2 linked regions of the Caenorhabditis elegans genome follow. The protein of the gene in region 2 interacts with the protein of the main gene of each other region in a pairwise test. Each region holds a gene or a part of one and is shown on either strand. Other genes may lie near its edges.

The links.
Region 1: the proteins of grd-12 (region 2) and ttr-54 interact in a two-hybrid assay, tested with the Caenorhabditis elegans proteins (one large-scale study listed by BioGRID).

The regions. Positions count from the first base shown.
Region 1 is NC_003282.8:10,152,052-10,160,658, forward strand, and holds ttr-54 (Transthyretin-like family protein), read left to right. Parts: upstream 1-3,723; 5' UTR 3,724-4,153; coding exon 4,154-4,309; intron 4,310-4,369; coding exon 4,370-4,536; intron 4,537-4,591; coding exon 4,592-4,685; 3' UTR 4,686-4,720; downstream 4,721-8,607. Other genes in the region: copg-1 (Coatomer subunit gamma), read left to right, coding at 1-7, 287-1,022, 1,067-1,180, 1,227-2,361, 2,412-2,681, 2,732-3,060, 3,333-3,381; ttr-53 (Transthyretin-like family protein), read left to right, coding at 6,012-6,137, 6,217-6,384, 6,531-6,683.
Region 2 is NC_003283.11:14,974,720-14,983,788, reverse strand, and holds grd-12 (Ground-like domain-containing protein), read right to left. Parts: upstream 5,285-9,069; 5' UTR 5,283-5,284; coding exon 5,202-5,282; exon of another isoform or gene 5,159-5,201; coding exon 5,069-5,158; intron 4,760-5,068; coding exon 4,346-4,759; intron 4,124-4,345; coding exon 4,004-4,123; intron 3,959-4,003; coding exon 3,806-3,958; 3' UTR 3,539-3,805; downstream 1-3,538. Other genes in the region: xbx-1 (Cytoplasmic dynein 2 light intermediate chain 1), read right to left, coding at 1,163-1,354, 1,457-1,552, 1,744-2,212, 2,625-2,713, 2,764-2,862, 2,914-2,972, 3,327-3,435.

The sequences.
Region 1 (8,607 bases), on a different chromosome or scaffold from region 2:
AAAGGAGGTAATTTTGAGACGTCGTGATTGTGATTTATTATTTTGTAATTTCTTTGTGCTTGTAGTCGCTCCTTGATTGTGCATGACTTTTCTCTCGCTTCTCAATAGAACACGTTGGTTTTTCTCATTATTCGATTAATCAGTAGCAAAACAGTGTATCCTCGAAAAATCATAAATGTTGGGTTCCTAATTTTTGCCATCAGAATTCGAAGTCGGCCGAATGATTTTGAGTTACTCCGTTATACATTCTTCGCGCCACAAAAAATGTAATGGTTTTATTTTCCAGGTCAATCTTCAAGAATGAAGACCAACAAGAAGGATGAGGAAACCGGGGGAAACGTCTATGCTCACCTCGATAAGACCTCCGTTCTTCAGGAAGCTCGCGCCTTCAACGAGACACCGATCAACGCGAGGAAATGTTGTTTCATCTTGTCGAAGTTGATTTACATCATTCAACAAGGAGAATCAATCGGAAGAACAGAAGCAACTGAGGCCTTTTTTGGTGTCACAAAGCTTTGGCAGAGCAAGGATGTCAGTCTACGCCGCATGGTTTATCTCGCTGTGAAGGAATTGGCTGAAGTTTCTGATGATGTCATTATTGTCACTTCAAGTCTTACAAAGGATATGACTGGAAGAGAAGATCTCTACAGAGCAGCTGCGATACGTGCTCTTTGCAAGATTACCGACACTGGAATGTTGCAAACTATTGAAAGATACATGAAACAGGCTATCGTTGATCGAAACAGTGCGATTTCTTCATCGGCTATCGTCTCTTCCATTCATTTGATGCGTAAGTCTTCCGAGGTAGTTCGTCGTTGGGCTAATGAAGTACAAGAAGCTGTTTCATCGGACAACCACATGGTTCAATACCACGCTCTGGCCCTTCTCTATCAAATCCGTGCCAACGATCGTCTCGCTGTGAACAAACTCGTCCAGAAGTTCAGCAAAAATGCTCTTCGTAGTCCATATGCTGTGTGCTATTTGATCCGCATTGCCACTAGATGTCTTGTCGATGACGATCAGTAAGGGTTTTAATTGAACGTATGGTTCGATAATCAATTAAAAGTTGCAGGCCAGATTCTTCTGTTTTCACATTCATTGAATCGTGTCTTCGTCACAAGAGCGAGATGGTAGTCTATGAAGCAGCTAGAGCCATTGTTTCACTTCCACAAACCACTCCGTAAGCATTGTATAATTTCTGAGTAAATTTATATTTCATTTTGCAGATCGGAGATTCAGCCAGCAATCACTGCTCTGCAAATGTGCTGCACTTCTCCAAAAGCAGCAGTTCGCTTTGCCGCAGTTCGAACTCTCAACAAAGTCGCAATGGCTCACCCGAACGCAGTTATGAGCTGCAATGTGGATCTTGAGAAGTTCATAACGGACCCGAACAGATCTATTGCAACTCTTGCCATCACCACCCTCCTCAAGACTGGAGCCGAGTCTAGTGTTGAAAGACTCATGCAACAAATCGCTGGCTTCGTAAACGAGATCTCGGATGAGTTCAAAATTGTTGTGGTCGATGCTATTCGCTCACTGTGCTCACGTTATCCTCGAAAGCATACTGTTATGATGCCTTTCCTTGCTAAGATGTTGCGTAGTGACGGAAGTTACGATTACAAGAAAGCAATTGTGGAAACTATTATTGCAATCATCGAAGAGAATCCAGATGCTAAAGTTGCTGGATTGGCTCACCTTTGCGAATTCATTGAAGACTGTGAGCACGATAATCTTTCTACTCGTGTTCTTCATCTCCTCGGGAGAGAAGCTCCAAAAACTCCAAACCCATCAAGCTACATTCGATTCATCTACAACCGCGTAATTTTGGAGAGCACCAAAGTTCGGGCCGCTGCAGTTACAGCTCTCGCCAAATTTGGAGCACAGTGCGTTGATTTGCGTCCATCGATTCAAGTTCTTCTGAAACGCTGCCTTTTGGATTCTGATGACGAAGTTCGTGATCGTGCCACCTTCTACCTCAAAATGCTTACTGAAGCAGCCGAAGGCCTCATTCACAACTTTATTCTTGACGGACTTCAAGTTTCGCCATCTGGTCTCGAGCGCTCAATTCTTGACTATCTCCGATCCGGATCTTACTCTTCTCCATTTGATCTTCGAGTTGTTCCTGTTACTCAACAAGCTCTTTCTCAACCTGAAAAACGTGTTCCTCAACTTGTGGAAGAAGAAGAGAAACCGAAAGCTCCTAAAGTTGAGCCATATGCTGCACAGCTGGCTGCTATTCCACAGTTTGCTGCTCTTGGTCCAGTCTTCAAGTCATCTACCAGAATTGCTCTCACGGAATCAATTGCTGAATACACTGTTCATATGATCAAGCATACATTTGCCAATGCCATGGTTCTGCAGGTATTTAAAAATAGTGAACTTTTGAAATCAATTATCGAATTTATTTTCAGTTTGAATGCAAAAATACAATGAATGACCAGCTTCTTCTTGATGTTTCTGTTGAATTGGAAGATCCAGATGGAGAATGGGAAACTGGAAATACTGTTCAAATTGATAAACTTCCCTATGGAGAAGTTCATTCAGCCTTTTCACTTCTAGAATTCCCTGATTCTGGAGCCATCTCTGGAAGTTTAGGTGCTATTCTCAAGTTCAAGGTGATGGATGTAGATCCAACTTCCGGGGAACCTGATTCGGATGACACATACGAGCAAACATATGTGGTACGCTGTAGAATTCTTAATACATTTTTATAATTCTAAATTATTTTCAGCTGGAAGAAGTTGATGTTAATGTGTCGGATTCGGTTCAAGGAGTCGCAAAATCTTCATTTGGATCTGCTTGGGAAGCGTTGGGAGACGATGCAACAAGAGAAGAAACATTCCAATTGTCAACAGTGGAAAATATTCCTGATGCTGTCAAGAAAATATCTGAAATTTTGGGACTTGTTCCTTGTGAACGGTCCGATCGTGTTCCTGAAGGAAAGACGCAACACACAGTGTTCCTTTCCGGAGTTTTTCGTGGTGGATATGATGTTCTTTCGAAAGCCACGGTCGCGGTGGATCCAAACGACAATTCAATTGCCATGAATATTATTATCAAGTACGTTTTTTTCAAACATTTTTTGATATTGTATCCCAATTAGGTCAATCATATATTTGCTCCAAAATAAAATCTAGTACATATTTACATAATATTTATTAAACTTTTTAATTGATTTTAAGTGGAATCAGACAGTAATAATTGTTTGCAAAATTTTTCGAATTATGAAATAGCATTAAAATTGAAATTTAAAATTAAGCATTTTTAATGGTTTTGAGTCATTTCCTGATCTCTACTAATAGTAAGCACAATTTGAAATTCTAAAATTACAGATCGAATGAACCACTCGTCGCAGATTTGGTTATCTCCGCAGTTGTCTAAAATTATTCGGGAATGTCCTGCGCCGCTGTTTTTCTGATTTTAAATGTCACCGCATGTTTTTTTTTCTAATTTATTGACCGGCGTTCGACAATTGTGATGTATGTGTGTTTTAATTGGTATTTTTGCTTCTTATTTATTGTGCGTTTTCGTGTTTATAGCTATTGCTTCCAAAAAAATTGAAAAAATAAAATGGGAAGTCTCATTATACCTTCCTCGAGTTTACTGGTTACACAATAGAACACATGTTATAATTAATTTTTCCGGATCCTAACTAAAATGGGTTGGTAAGTTAAAGTTTCCAAAACAAGCTTGTTCGGCATCTTAATAGTTAGAGCAAAAAAAAGGATTGATCGATTCACCGAGCAGCTGTTCTCTTTTTTTTTGTGAAGAGCCGGATGATCACCAGGTCTCTTGAAATCTCGTGATATTTCGCTTCCGATTGAAAGTTTCGCAGTTTGTCGCCTCGAAAAATGAAAATATGTGACTCTAAAGCTATTTTTTAAAGTTTTTGTTACCGTAACATTAACAGTTATTATCGATTTCTGGTTTAACGTTGTCGTGAAATTGTGCACATTGGCCACACACTGTGAAGGTGCTAAGAAAAATGACCACTAGGTAACCCAAGAGCAATGTAAACAATTCTCGTTGTCTGTACTGACTCACTTCTTTGAGAAATCGTTTCTTTTCTTCACTTTTGTATTTTTTTAATCGAACCTTTCCGCAACCAAATCTTAAATCTTGAGATTTATTAAAGTTGACTCAAAAATTGAAAATGCGAGCACCTGTGACATTTCTAATCTTGTGCTCACTGGCTCTTCTCTGTTCATCAGCTAACAACTGTGCCTGGTTTGTCGGTCAATTACAATGTACGGACACTTCGAAATTGGAAAATGTGGTTGTAGAAATTTGGGACAAGGATCGATCTTTTGTAAGTTTTTTTATTTTTGAAATGTCGTTAATGTTGAACTGAAAAAAAATTAAATTACAGTTTCCAATTACTTTATTCGTTGATGATGATTTGGCTGGAAGAACTATTACTTCTGCAGATGACAATGGAACATTCAAAGTGGAAGGATGTGCTTCTGACCTCGATTTTCTTTTTATCAAAAATGAACCAGAATTTTATTTGAAAATTCGACACTACTGCAAAGGAAAGTGAGTTACAAAGCACTTGCTTCATAATAAATATTTAAATTTTTAATTATTTCAGGGCAGAAGTGACGCTTGTACACCCGAAAAATCCGAAGGTGTTCGTTCCACAAACTAACGATTATTTCACAAAACATCCTATTATTTTGGGATAGATGTTTAAGAGTTCAATAAATGTATTTTATATTTGAATTTTCTACACACAAATGTTGTTTAATTGGTCTTCCAATCCATAACTTATTTTATCAAACTAAACTTGGCAAAAAAGTTGAAATTGAACATGTCATATCATCAATTAAAATGTAGCTATGACCTTCCCCAAAATTCTACATTGGAATCATCAGAAACTAGTCAGTTTGATCGCTTTTCAATGATTAATTCTCCAACCTCCCTCAAGGTTTTTCTATTCAATCGATTCTTCACGATATGGGTGTCCTCTTTCTTTTTGGTGGATTTTCCTGTTCTTATCATCCATTTGTTTCCGAGAAACATGGAAAAAGGACACAATATTTTTCACTGGCTAATAGAAATAGTATAGTTTTATTTTTATAGCTGTGAATTAAGAATAAAAATGAAAATAAAATCAAAAATCTTCTCGCAGAAGGCACCGTACACTAACAATTTGGGCGCAAGTCCAAAAGCGTCGCTGCGGTCTCGTAGCGATGTGTAAATATTTTTCCTCAGTAGCTATGCGCCTTTGAATATTGGTACTGTCACAACTATAGTGTTTCCTCAATTTTGTTTTTTATTTCTCGAGATTTCTCTTCTAATTTAAGAAATCTTAACTAGTTTGAATTATTTTTTAGTGTTTAAATGATATTTAGTTGTCCAATTCTTTAGTTAAAATTCCGTGCGTTTTAACCTCACTTTTCCATCGTTTCAGTTTCAGACACGAGAAACTGGTTCAAGAAATACTTCAAACTTTCTTTTTCTCTTCATTCTTGAAAATTTTACTTTTTCTTGTTTGTTTTGGCAATTCAATCTGTTTCGATCCAACCACAAATGTTTGACGTCATCCGGCAGTTGTGAATAGCTTGATTTTCATTTTGCGGCAGCTTCACCGTATTCTTTGTGTCAATCAAGAATTTTTATAAATGAGTAGTTGGAGGTGTCAATCATTAGGCCTCAGACAATCAAAACTCCATTTTTCAATATATTTAATTTTCAATGCAGTTTGTTTCTAACGTTTCCAACTTTAATCCCACAAAAAATGACGTGCGAATGATTCATAATAATCTGAAATTTAGTTTAGTTTATCCAACTCCTTGTTTATGGTGAAATTGGTGAATAAAAAATAAAAGTGGCACATGTTTTTAATTGAAAAATAAATTGAACATTCAAAATCCTATTATAATCCGTTATTCTCCCTTTTGATGAAACATCGATCTGTTCTGAAATGAAATCATTCAAAATATTTCGTTTCTGAATCCATTCTGTCCAACTTTCCTTTTTTCAGATTTAACATAAAATAACCACTAACAATGCTCAAATCGCTTATAATTATCTGCGTTTCCATTCTTCCCATATCTCTTGCTGGTAGAGAATGTGTCTGGGTTCTAGGAAAAGTCGAATGTCAAAATGATCCGACCAAGAATCTGAATGTTGAGGTTAGATTTTTATCAGTTTCTCCTGAAATTGATAGTGAATTCATTTTTGCAGAAATATTTCAACAAAACACTATTTCAGATTCGTGTCTGGGATCGTGATGGTCCAGGACCACTTCAAATGATAGACCCAGATGATTTGATGGGTGTCACATTTTCCAATGATGACGGACGTTTCCAATTGGACGGATGTGGAGATGATTTCGATTGGATTCCGGGAGTTAAGAATGTTCCAGAACCATATATTGAAGTTAGTTTTTTAATCATCAGTTCGATATCAAAAATGTTGTTTTCCAAGTTTCATTGAATTTTTGAAACATTACGAGCCTATGAAATTCAAAATCTTTAAGAAAACTGTTATAATTTTTCTGTAATCTACTAAAAGATAATTTTCAGATTCGTCATTACTGTAACAGTGAAAAAGGAGACATCTTCCAACTTCCAGAATTCAGTACTTTTGTTCCAAATACCTATGATATCGGAACCATCGTTCTTGACAAGGAGACTCGTGGAATTAAAACGACACAGAAAGCTGATCCAACTCAATAATTTATTCTTTTCCATTTTAATCTTTTTTATCCCATTTGCCATTCATCGCGTTATTCATTCCAAAATCTTGTTTGTTTTGTACTTTTATCTTCATATCTAAATATTTGTACAGTCGGAATTTGAATTATTTTCTATGAATTCAAAACTCATTCCCACTTTAAATCGTTCCCATCAATTGTTTTCTTGCCTCGATTTTCTTCTGTGATTTCACTTCCTTCTTGCATAACATTTTTGAATTTTTTTTTCATTAGTCTTCAGTTTTACTAATTTTTGGTGTTTAACCAAGCTATGAACTATCTACTAACCTCTCCAGGAAGACTTCAAGTACGAAGTAAAAAAAAATCACTCATCGCAGTTGTCCCATGAAAATCCTGGAAATGTGTGGTTTTTCTCTAGTTTTACGGTTTAGTGTATTTCAGCAAAACCCTATAAACTCTACTCAGAATGAACACTCCATTCAAACTTGAATACTTGAATACTTTTTAATTTCAATGAAAAATTTCGCAAATATGATACCTGTAAACCAAAATTTACCACCATACATGATCTACTTCAATTTCATCTAGATCATTCATATTTTTTTGAATTTTTCTTTTAAAAAGTGAACATTGCTCGAAACTTTTTTTTTATATTTTGTGCTTTTCAAAACTTTAGTTCAAAAATATACTTTTTGAACGTTTTCTGTCATTCATAAAATACCAAATAACATTTCCTTCTAGTATTTGATGTTTGTCAAATATCCATAGACCTAGGTTCAATTCGCCAACTTACTAGGTATCTACAACGAACATGGACTAACCTATTCGAATTATAAATTTGCCTTTGAACACGAAAAATTGAAAAGATCAGTGCCAAATTAAACATTAGAGAGATGAAGAACACTTTCGAAAATCCGGATTAGCCGCCATCCATTGGTTTGTAGCCTTTTTTGATTAAAACGAGAATACAGAGAAACACCAGAGACAGTGCGGCTTTTCAATTCATTTTTGTTCATTGTCTCCTTTTTTCTCCACACAATTCAATATTTTTTCGTTTCTTTTTTCCAAATATTTGCAAAGCTGTCGCTCTTCCTTTTTAGTGATTTTAGCTGGCTATTAGATTGAAAATGTCTGAAATCTTAAGTTTCGATCTAATAAATGAAGCATCCTTCGACCATTCAGGTTTATAACGTTCTTTTTCGTTGATTTTGCATCCTCATTTAGCAGTCTTATCTAATTTTCAAAATGATTTTTAATTCAGATTGTCTGTGAAAAAATCGGATAGAAATGTGAAAAACCATGTATGGGAAAGCGTTTAAAAGGAAAAAAATATGTTTCACCTTCAGTCCATTTCCTTTAAAAATCATTTCATTGAATTCGTTTTGTTTTAAAATTATATCTCGCATCGAATTTTGTCTCGCAATAATTTTGTTTCAAAAAATGAATTATGAACTTTCAAACAGTTTTTGAAAATAGTTGTGGTAGTCCTTTAGGAAGTCTTAAAATTAACCAATTTGTTGTCAAATTCCTCATTGAAATTTTCAACTACTAACCGATCAATTTTGCGATTACTGAATCTTCCAAAAACTGCCTACCTGCCTTAATCAATGCCTATCTTGCCTCGGTCGGGTGTTCATCATCTTCAAGGCAAGATATGCCTACCTTGAAGGCACGCATGTGGGTATTGCCTAGACAAATGTAATTCCTAGTTTTTCGCTGAGTTTATAGTTTTTAGTTTTAAAAACTTTGTAATCAGAAGCCCAAGTATATTCTAATTCGGTCCAAATAATAGCTTGTTGTCTTCTTTCGTTAATTGTGTGTACCACTTTGTAAGCATTGAGTATAAGACTATACACAAGATACTCAGGCAACTCAAATCTAATATGAAAATATTAAATAGCAATATTTTTGTAGTTGGGTGATATTTTAAGATAAAATCGCAATAT
Region 2 (9,069 bases):
TTCTAAAAATAAAATGACAGAAAAAAACGGCGAAAAACTGAAAGCAATCAAAAATAAGAGAAATATTTATCTGTCTTGATGATTGAATCAAAGACAATGCGAGAAGGGGGCGGGTAGAAAATACCTCTAAAATTGTTAAACTTTTCTGTCTCACCGGTGACGACGTCAACATTGTTCTTGTTCTACTTCTAATGAAAATTGAAATTGAACAATGGCGGAAGGGGTTGGGGCAAACTTTTTTTGTTCGGAAAAGAATCAGTGATAAGTTGTTATAAGGATTGAATGTTTGGTTTTGACAATAATGTATTGGAAAGATGACACAATGTTTTCTTTTTGGAAAAAAAACAATTTCGCAGGGGAAGGGAAGGTTAGAGCAAACAGATTAAAATACAAAAAGTTGAGAAAAGTATCAACATTTGTGAATGATGCCTCCAAAAGGAAACCTACGTCATTCGAAAAATCTTTTCTTTTAAATACTATGCTTAAAAACATTCAGCTGCAGAGGATTAGTTTGAACTGGAAAAAAGTTGATCTACAATTTTTTAGAGCATTTTTTTTTCGAAAAAGAGAATTTTGCGAAAATTTTTGGTTTAACACTTTGGGAAAAATTTTAATATTTGTGCTTTATATGTAAAATTACATGGGGATCTGAAAGTATCAAAAAGTGTTGGAAATTCCAGAGAATTTTTAAGGTTTATATTTGGAGTTCCACCACGAACGGCAATTGGTTACTGTAGATTCTCAGTATCTATGGGATAATAAAAATAAATTTTGAAGCTAGACAAAATCTTAAACTACAACCAATAGACTTGAATAAAAATAGGTTTTTGAACAATTTCCAAGAAATAAAAATTTGAAAATTGAAGTGTCACCAATACAAGTCTAAGCTAGAAAAAGCTTCATACTACAGTTTAAACCCAAAAAAAAGTTGAAAATCTTGAAAATTGAAGTACTCTTGAAAAATTGCCATGTAGAAGTTTTTTTTTGGAAAAAAACTATACTACACAAATTGGGAACTCAAACATTTTCCTTACAAATTGTCATAGATACTCGAAAAAAATTACAAACATTCACACAATAAAATCAAATGTCCATCACTCTCTAATCTTTGAATTTCAATTAAAAACTACCAGATTCATTTCACAGTTCAAATAAATTCAGATTATCGAACATTAATTTTTGCGATTCGATCGGCCGCACGTGCCTCTGCAGCCTCCCGATCTCTCTTTGATCTTATGTGATTTTTGAGTTCTTTCCGCTTGATTTCCACAAGATTGTCAATATTCGGCTCTTTAAATACCGGATCAATCATTGGATCTTGTTTCTTTGTATCCTCAATGTCAATTGTCCCAGTCTGTAAAAAGATAGATATGCGTGCTAGCCTGATGCTTGCCTGTCTCCTATCTATTTTTAAAAATTTTAACCAAGAAGGCAGGCAAGAAGGTGCTCCACTTACCTTTTGAGGCCAGAGGCTGATAAATGACTCTCTCCATAAATTGAATGGGGATGAAGCTCCCATAAAATTGTCTGATGCAGGAGGTATTCCAATAGACTGAAAACATAATTCTTGTTGGGGGAAACAACGAAAACGTAGGAGTTTCAGAACGCGAACAAGAAGTGTTGCCAATTTATGTAAACGAAAAAAAAAAATTTGTAAGAGTTGACTGTCTTGAACTGTGTAGGTAAAAAGTGAGGTATGTAGGTAGGCAGATTGTGTTGATTGAAATCTATTCGAACGCTCACCTCTAAACTATCAAAACCGCATTTCACAAACATTGGTTTATTATGATCAGTCATATAACCTTGCGGACAAACAGTGCCAAATGCGAAATGACTCGTCATATTCTTCACGAGCTTCGGAAATTGTTCCATTCTCGACGAAAACATCATCAAATTCGCTCCATACGAATAGGCGAGGAATCGAAGAAACTGACAAAGATGCCGTCGTTTTTCAGATTCAAAATTTTGAAATTCATCGTATTTCGAAGCGACAATAGTCACCGGTATAGGACATGGATTGCACATCTTCAAACTTCCATCGTCGTATTTTTCGAGGCGGAGACGCATTTTTTCAGCCAAGCGAGTTTGGAGGTTAATATCTTGCCGTTCGAGATTCTCAACGAGGCGTCGAACAGAGTCCACCGTTTTTTCGATTGTTATCCACATTTCGTCAAGATTTGTCATATCGAGAAGCAAGATCAAAGAGCAAATTCTGAAAAGTAGAAATGATATTTGTTGAAAAATATTACGGAGCAGTTCATACTCAAACCTAATATCTAAAAAGCTGAATATCTGAAAGGCTGAATATCTGAAAAACGCTTTCCTAACTGTATTGGCGAATGATTCATCCAGCTCAGCCCCCCGCACGAATAAGGTGAATACTTATTGACTCATCTCTCATTGACTCACTTATTTCTAAATTGAATTTTTGATTCTTTAGCTGTAGGAATAGATATAAACTTCTTGACAAGACGTTTCCTTGTTCTTAGTGTAGTTGTTTTTGAACCTATGTATGTCTTTTTTTGTCTTTTTTTTGCCATGTGAGCCTATTAGAGTGAAACACTCCACTCCTCATACTGCGCAAATGTAAAAACTAACTACACTGATTTGAAAAAAAAACTCACTCGACATTTTTCATTGTGATAGGAACTGAAAGCAGTTCCGTAACAGTTGCTCCACCACCAAGCTCCCACAAATTCGCGATATCTTTCACCTAAATCATAATCTCTATTTCAAATTTAAGCCTAAAAAAAAGTAACTCACATTTCCTCGAGTTCTCCTGGCATAAGTGTATTCCAATCCTACGGAATCCTTCAAATCTTCTTTTCGTTCTAGGAAATTCAGCATGAATGAGGATTTTCCCTGAAAAACTACTCAAAATGAAGACTTCTAAAAAATTAGAAAAAAACGTACACTTTTTCGATTCCCAGCAAAAATGATATGCGATTCGTGTCTCCGACGAACTTCTGATACTGAAATTTGTTTAAAAAAAGTAAATATCATTTTCCAGAAGCTCATATTTCGACTGTTACATATTTGTTGTGAAATTTTTTATCCAGAATATTCCTACAAAAACATTTTCTGACAATTTTTTTTGAAATTTGTGAGATATAATATTTTTTCTGATAATAAAAAAATTACAAAAAAAAACAAAAATATAGGATAAAAACAACAACTTTTCTCAAAAAATTTCCCTTTCAGATAGAAAACTTGTTTTCGGAATTGAAATTATTTTAACAGAAGATTTAATATTTTAGAGTTTTTTATTTTCAAGATTGAACTAAAATTTCACAAATAATTAAATAAAATTAACAAAAAAAACTCACAATAATTATCACTTTGTGTTCCATTTTCATCATCTAATTTCTGTTTTAGCTCTGCAGCTCGTTGCTTATTTTCCACTAATTTCTGTTTGGCAAGATCCCAAATGTTCATACTAATAAATTGAGCAATATTGGAGAAAAAGGAGTAAAATGCTCCGCTGCACTCCGAAAATGACGGTTACCATGGAAACGGGCGTTCAACAAGAAACGAGGAGAGAACTTTATTTCCTTTTATATACAAGTGAGCATAGAACAATATGAAAAAAAGAAATATATAATTATTAATTCAAAGTATAAAGTTAAAATAATAAAAAGCTGAAAAAAAATAAAAGATGAAAAAGAATTGGCTGGAGAATAAATTCAAGATCAATTTTGGAGATGGAAATTTGGAAATTTTTGGAAATATTTAAAAAAGATTTCAACAATTATAAATAGGCTACTTCGAAATAATTAAAAACAAGAATTAATTCAAATAAATATTCCTAGAACCAAATGTTCTCTTCATGTCCATCATGCACTCCAATTTCATCATACTTAGCCGGATACATTTGAGTTCTCAACTCGTCATCGTTCATTGGACGAGTCACTCCGGTATCTAGAGAATATGGAACTGCTGAGCCATATATCACAACAATCTGAAATTTAGATTTTGATTCGATAAGTAGATATGTGAATAATACCTTTCCGTCTCGACTCCGCTTTTTGCAATAAAGGTCTCCGCGGTAATTTGAAAGATTTTGTACTTCTCCACTGGCAACGATTGCTTCCATTGAATGATTGAACATTTGTTGCGTTTCGTGCTGAAAACATTTAGATTTTTTTATGTAGAGCACTTGACAACTGTTTCAAAAGAAACGGCTAAAAAATTAAGTTTTTTGAAAACACTTCAATTTATCCTGTTTCAAATGATCTAAACTTATACCTAGTCCCCTCAATTCGCAGTTCAATCTCCGAACCTTGAGAACGACCCCACCCAACTTCTCTCCTAATATGCAAATCAATAAAATGACCCTGAACCAAACCTGAAGCTGTGTTGCAAATCGTTGCAGATTACATCTCTGCCATTCTGGCTTCAACATCTCTCCAACTTTCTGTTCTAAAAATTGATCCAACTGTCGATTGCAACATTTGTATCCCTGAGTGTTTTGGAAACATTTTGGTGGTGGAATTGTAGTAGTTGTAGTTGGTGGTGGGGTTATATATACAGGTGGAGGTGTGACATAAACCGGTGGAGGTCTAACGTAAGCTGGAGGGGTTGGATATGGAACCATTGCATATTGGGGAGCAACTGCGTATTTTGGCATAGCATATGAGTTCATTGGAATTGAGTATTGAGGAGCAAATGGGTAGGCGTTTGAAGGAGCCGCATAGTTTGCTGGAGCAGTTGCATATGAATTTGCAGGCGGTGTTGGAGGAGGCAAACCGTAGTTGAATCGCTGAAAAGTTTTAGGCTTTACAAATTTAGATTTGCCAAGGCCATTCTAAGATTCAACAAAAAATTGGTTGAGTTATCAGCCAAATGAATTCCCACTCTAATACTCTGAAAATCAGTCACCATATCAATTTCTATTTCTGAATTATTTTTTCTTCGAATTTTCTTCAAGTTTCTCACAATGCTCATTGGACTGAAAGTAGGAGGCGTGAGAGTTTGCCAGGAGCTTTATCACCAGCTCATTTTCTATTCTTATCAGAAAAATGTCTACTCATTAGTTTTTGCACCTTCCAAATCTTTATCGTCAGATTACCTGTTGCGGAGGATTATAATTCCGAGATTGATAATACCCAGAGTAAGCTGGCGGACATTGATTTTGGCAACCACCAGCACCACCACCGAGCTGAAATAATTTTGTTCTAAATTGAATATCCATGAAAACGCACCATTGAGAGGAACCAGCAATCCGCTAACCGGAAGGTGAGTAATACTGATAGGATTACTGTAAGTTTCGGCCTGTGTAACATTTCTGAAAATTATTGAAATGAGAAGAAAATTAGAGTAAAAAGTAGAGAGAAGTGGTGTAGAAAATAGAGAGAAATTGAAACTTCAAAAACGAGGAAATGGTTATTGACAGCCTGTAGATTTCTTACTAAAAAAAGCCAACCTTGTGAATTAAGTTTTAAAATATTTCTGCAAAATCCAAATTCCGACTTTTGAAAGTTAAAAAAACGGTACTAATTTTATTAAAACCCTAAAGAGCGTTGCACGGCAACAAACAGAAATTCAGTTGATTGGTGGAAAGCTAAAAATTTCATTGTTTAAATCAGATTTTCAGAGGTAAACTTCCATATTTCCACTAGTCTTTTACTAGGCTCTTGGAAACTCTAGTCTCTTGAAATTTACTGACGGGGAAGTTTTTAGTTTTCCAGTAGCATATTTTTCAAGCCAAATGCTCAGTTGGAAGTTGGGCTCTAGGAAGTAGACCTACCTAGCTGTAAATTGAAATAACTACAACAAGTGCAGCATAATGGAGGTTTTTACATTTATTAGCTCATAAACTTCAATTTGACAAACTGACTCTTGTTTTTTATTTGAGTTTATTTTAGAAAAATTTCAACGCAAAAGTAATTATCTAAACTTAATTCACATTCTATTAACTGCAAGTTCCTAGTATTTTCAAAAACAAAACAAACAATAAAAAAACAAAAAAATCAAGAGATAAATAGGTTCAAGGAGATTGAAATCCGAAACCGTAGCCTATAACAGTCCAAACGTCCATATAAGCCGCGCTAGCTTTGGTCACAAATCTCGAACAAAAGGGCGGAAACACCGTGCTTTTTGTGTTCACAAAAAGCGCATCAAACGGCTAACAAATCAATTAGAATCGACACATGGGAAACGCAGTTTTCCCTCCCAGGAATCTCGAGATATAAACACACTGTTTTGGCATGTGAGAAGGGGAAGGTAAAGCCGAAAAACATTGAGGAAAAGAAAAGAAGAAGAAGGAAATGCATACATAATCACAGTCCGTTTGGATGAGAAAACAAATCTGTGAAAGTGAGAATTCCGGAGAGGGAACAGAATTGAGGGGTAGTCTTTGAAAACTGAGAATCTAGCCAAAACTGTAAAGCCCTTGTGAGAAAAATAGTTAATTATAGGTGTGAACTGCTAGGCTAGAATTCTTCAATTTTTCCAAATACTAATCTTTAAAGCGACTAGAAGAACTGGAAAATGCCTTCAAAGTACTTTAGTTTAATACAAAACCCTGAAAGTAGATGCCAAAGTTTTTAAGTCAACAACACAATTGAAAACTAGATGTGTGGAACATTCTAGACGGTTATATCCACAGAGTGGATTCCCCATATACTTGTAATAAACCGCACTTAGATGCATGAGAGACCCCGTGTAATTTGTTAATTGGATGAATATTTGCCGCAAATGGCATTTCTTGTTAAGAAAACAGTGAAAATGATTGTTTTCCACAGCGGCCAGACACTTGTACTATTGCCAAGGTTGTATTTGATTTTTCGGATTATCTTGATCTTCGATTAGATTTTTTTAGTATTTTGAAGCAGCTGACGCCATTCCAAAAATCTGGCGTGGCAGAAATCAAAAGTTTAGTTGGAAGACAAAATCAGATGAAATTAAGAGATTACCTGTAAACTAGACACTAGGAACTGAAGAAGAAGTTTAGAAAAAAGGGGACTAGATCTAAACTTAGACCTAATTCTAGGCGAAGGTGTCATGGAAGGCGCCCCTTTCTCCCAGCTTTTCTTTTTTACAGTGTGGTATCGTTCAAGCTTGGCAGCTCATAACTGGGGGGGGGGGGGGGGTATATTTAAAGTTATTCGAAACTGGAAAATTTAAAACGTAGCCAAGCAACTCTCTGAGTTTGTCGCGCAAGCGTTATAAGTCTACCTGTATGCCTACAAGCACCCATGAACACTCAGCCTGGGAGGCGGCCTATGCCTATTTTGGAATGATTTTTATCCAGACATCTTCTGAGGTTACGAGCGCGCAAGACATGGGTTGAAGTCTACCTACGCCTGCTTTCCCGTTCAGGAAAATTCGTGAATGAATCGGAATGGGGACTCATGACAAAATAAGTGTAGGTAGGCTTGGAACCTTATTGTAGGCACGCAGGCAGTTGATAGGCATGACGGTTGTTACTCACAACTTATCCAGCTAAAAGCTACAAAATAGTGTGTTAAAGCGCAATGAGGTGAACATTTTCGGCTAGATTAATGGTAAAAGTACACATTATTTTCAGTTCACATATCACAAAAGTTTAAGTTTCTTATTGAGTTTCAAAATTTTACGATTTGAGAAATTAGAATTTTCTATAACTATTTTTTTCATACTAAAAAATTATCAGGTTCTGTGTGACATTTACAGAGCCTTCATATTGGCAGATTAATTCTGAGGTCTCAATTGAGATTTGCTAAAAGAGTCCCTACATAGCGAGATCCCTTGAAGTATCGGCACATTTTTTATGTGTTTTTGTGACGTCACACGCAATTCAGAAAATTTTCCGCGACGTCTGAAAAGTAGGCCTTTCCAGTGTGTTCTCCAGAACATTCTAAAATATAATAAAACGTCACACTAAATGCACCGTTTGGTGCCGGTTCAAACGAACGCGTGAAATTTTGGCACAATTTTCTGGAGATCATGAACCAGCTGTTCCTAAAGCCTATACAAAACAAAACAAATCGAAAATAAATTTTATAATAGAATTGGATTTTTTCAAAATCTGAGGAGAAGCTTTGAAACAACTGTCTGCCAATTGAAAACTAAAAGAGAATGAAGTACTAATTAAAAATGGGCAGCCTTATGAGAAGCTTTCCCAATATGAATCTAAAACCAAATGACTCCAAATCAGGGCATTATAACCGTCGATACACATTGTTTTGAAAAGACTGTATAATTGGATTGAGACTCTCACTACTTTTTCTAGAAAAGAAGAAGTATCAGAAGGCACAAGCAACATACAAATAGTCTCTAAGCATACCTTGTAGAGGACTATTTCTAATGCAATTAACAGCTGGATGAATAGCTTCACCGCTTTTTGCCGGCGAAAGTGGTGCCCTTCTTACCCCCTAGTCGATCATGTCATTCGTATCTCCTCTAAAAAATAGAGAAATGTCGAGAAGGAACGGATTTCCAATGAGAAAATAATTAGGTGTGTTCCTGATACTTTTGATTCGAACTTTCGCAATGATAAAATTGATAAAACTGATAGCCTCGGTGGCCAAAGTTCAAAAAGTAGCAAGTTGTTTTTTTGATAAAAGGGGCATGAATTTGTGATTTTTCTGGACGACATTTGTCTTGTTTGGTGTTCCTCAAAGTGAACAATTTCTCGGGAATAGAGTGTTTTATTAGGAAACGCTAGATATATGTACATGTGCTTGTCTTGAAGATTTCTTCCGGTTGTTAGTTACTTATTAGTTCGGCTAAGTAATGACTACGAAAAGGAAAGAGGACGACATTATCCGTCTAGGTCTAGGTGTAGGCCTAGGTCTAGGTCTAGGTCCAGGTTTTTGAAACTAAAATTTAAACCAAAACTTTATAAACTTTAATGGTTAATATCAGTGGCTACGTCAAAACACTAATGTTCAATAAAACAAAATACTACATATACCGAAAGATGCAATCTCAATCTGCCTACTCATCATTTCCAACATATTTTTCCCCACTTAATTTTCCAAAAATCTTCTGCTTGATTAACATCGGAAACTCGTCTTCTCAACGCCTCGTTTTTTCGACTTCTCGCTTGCCAATTATTCTTGAAACTCAGCAAAGAAATCGCCGTGA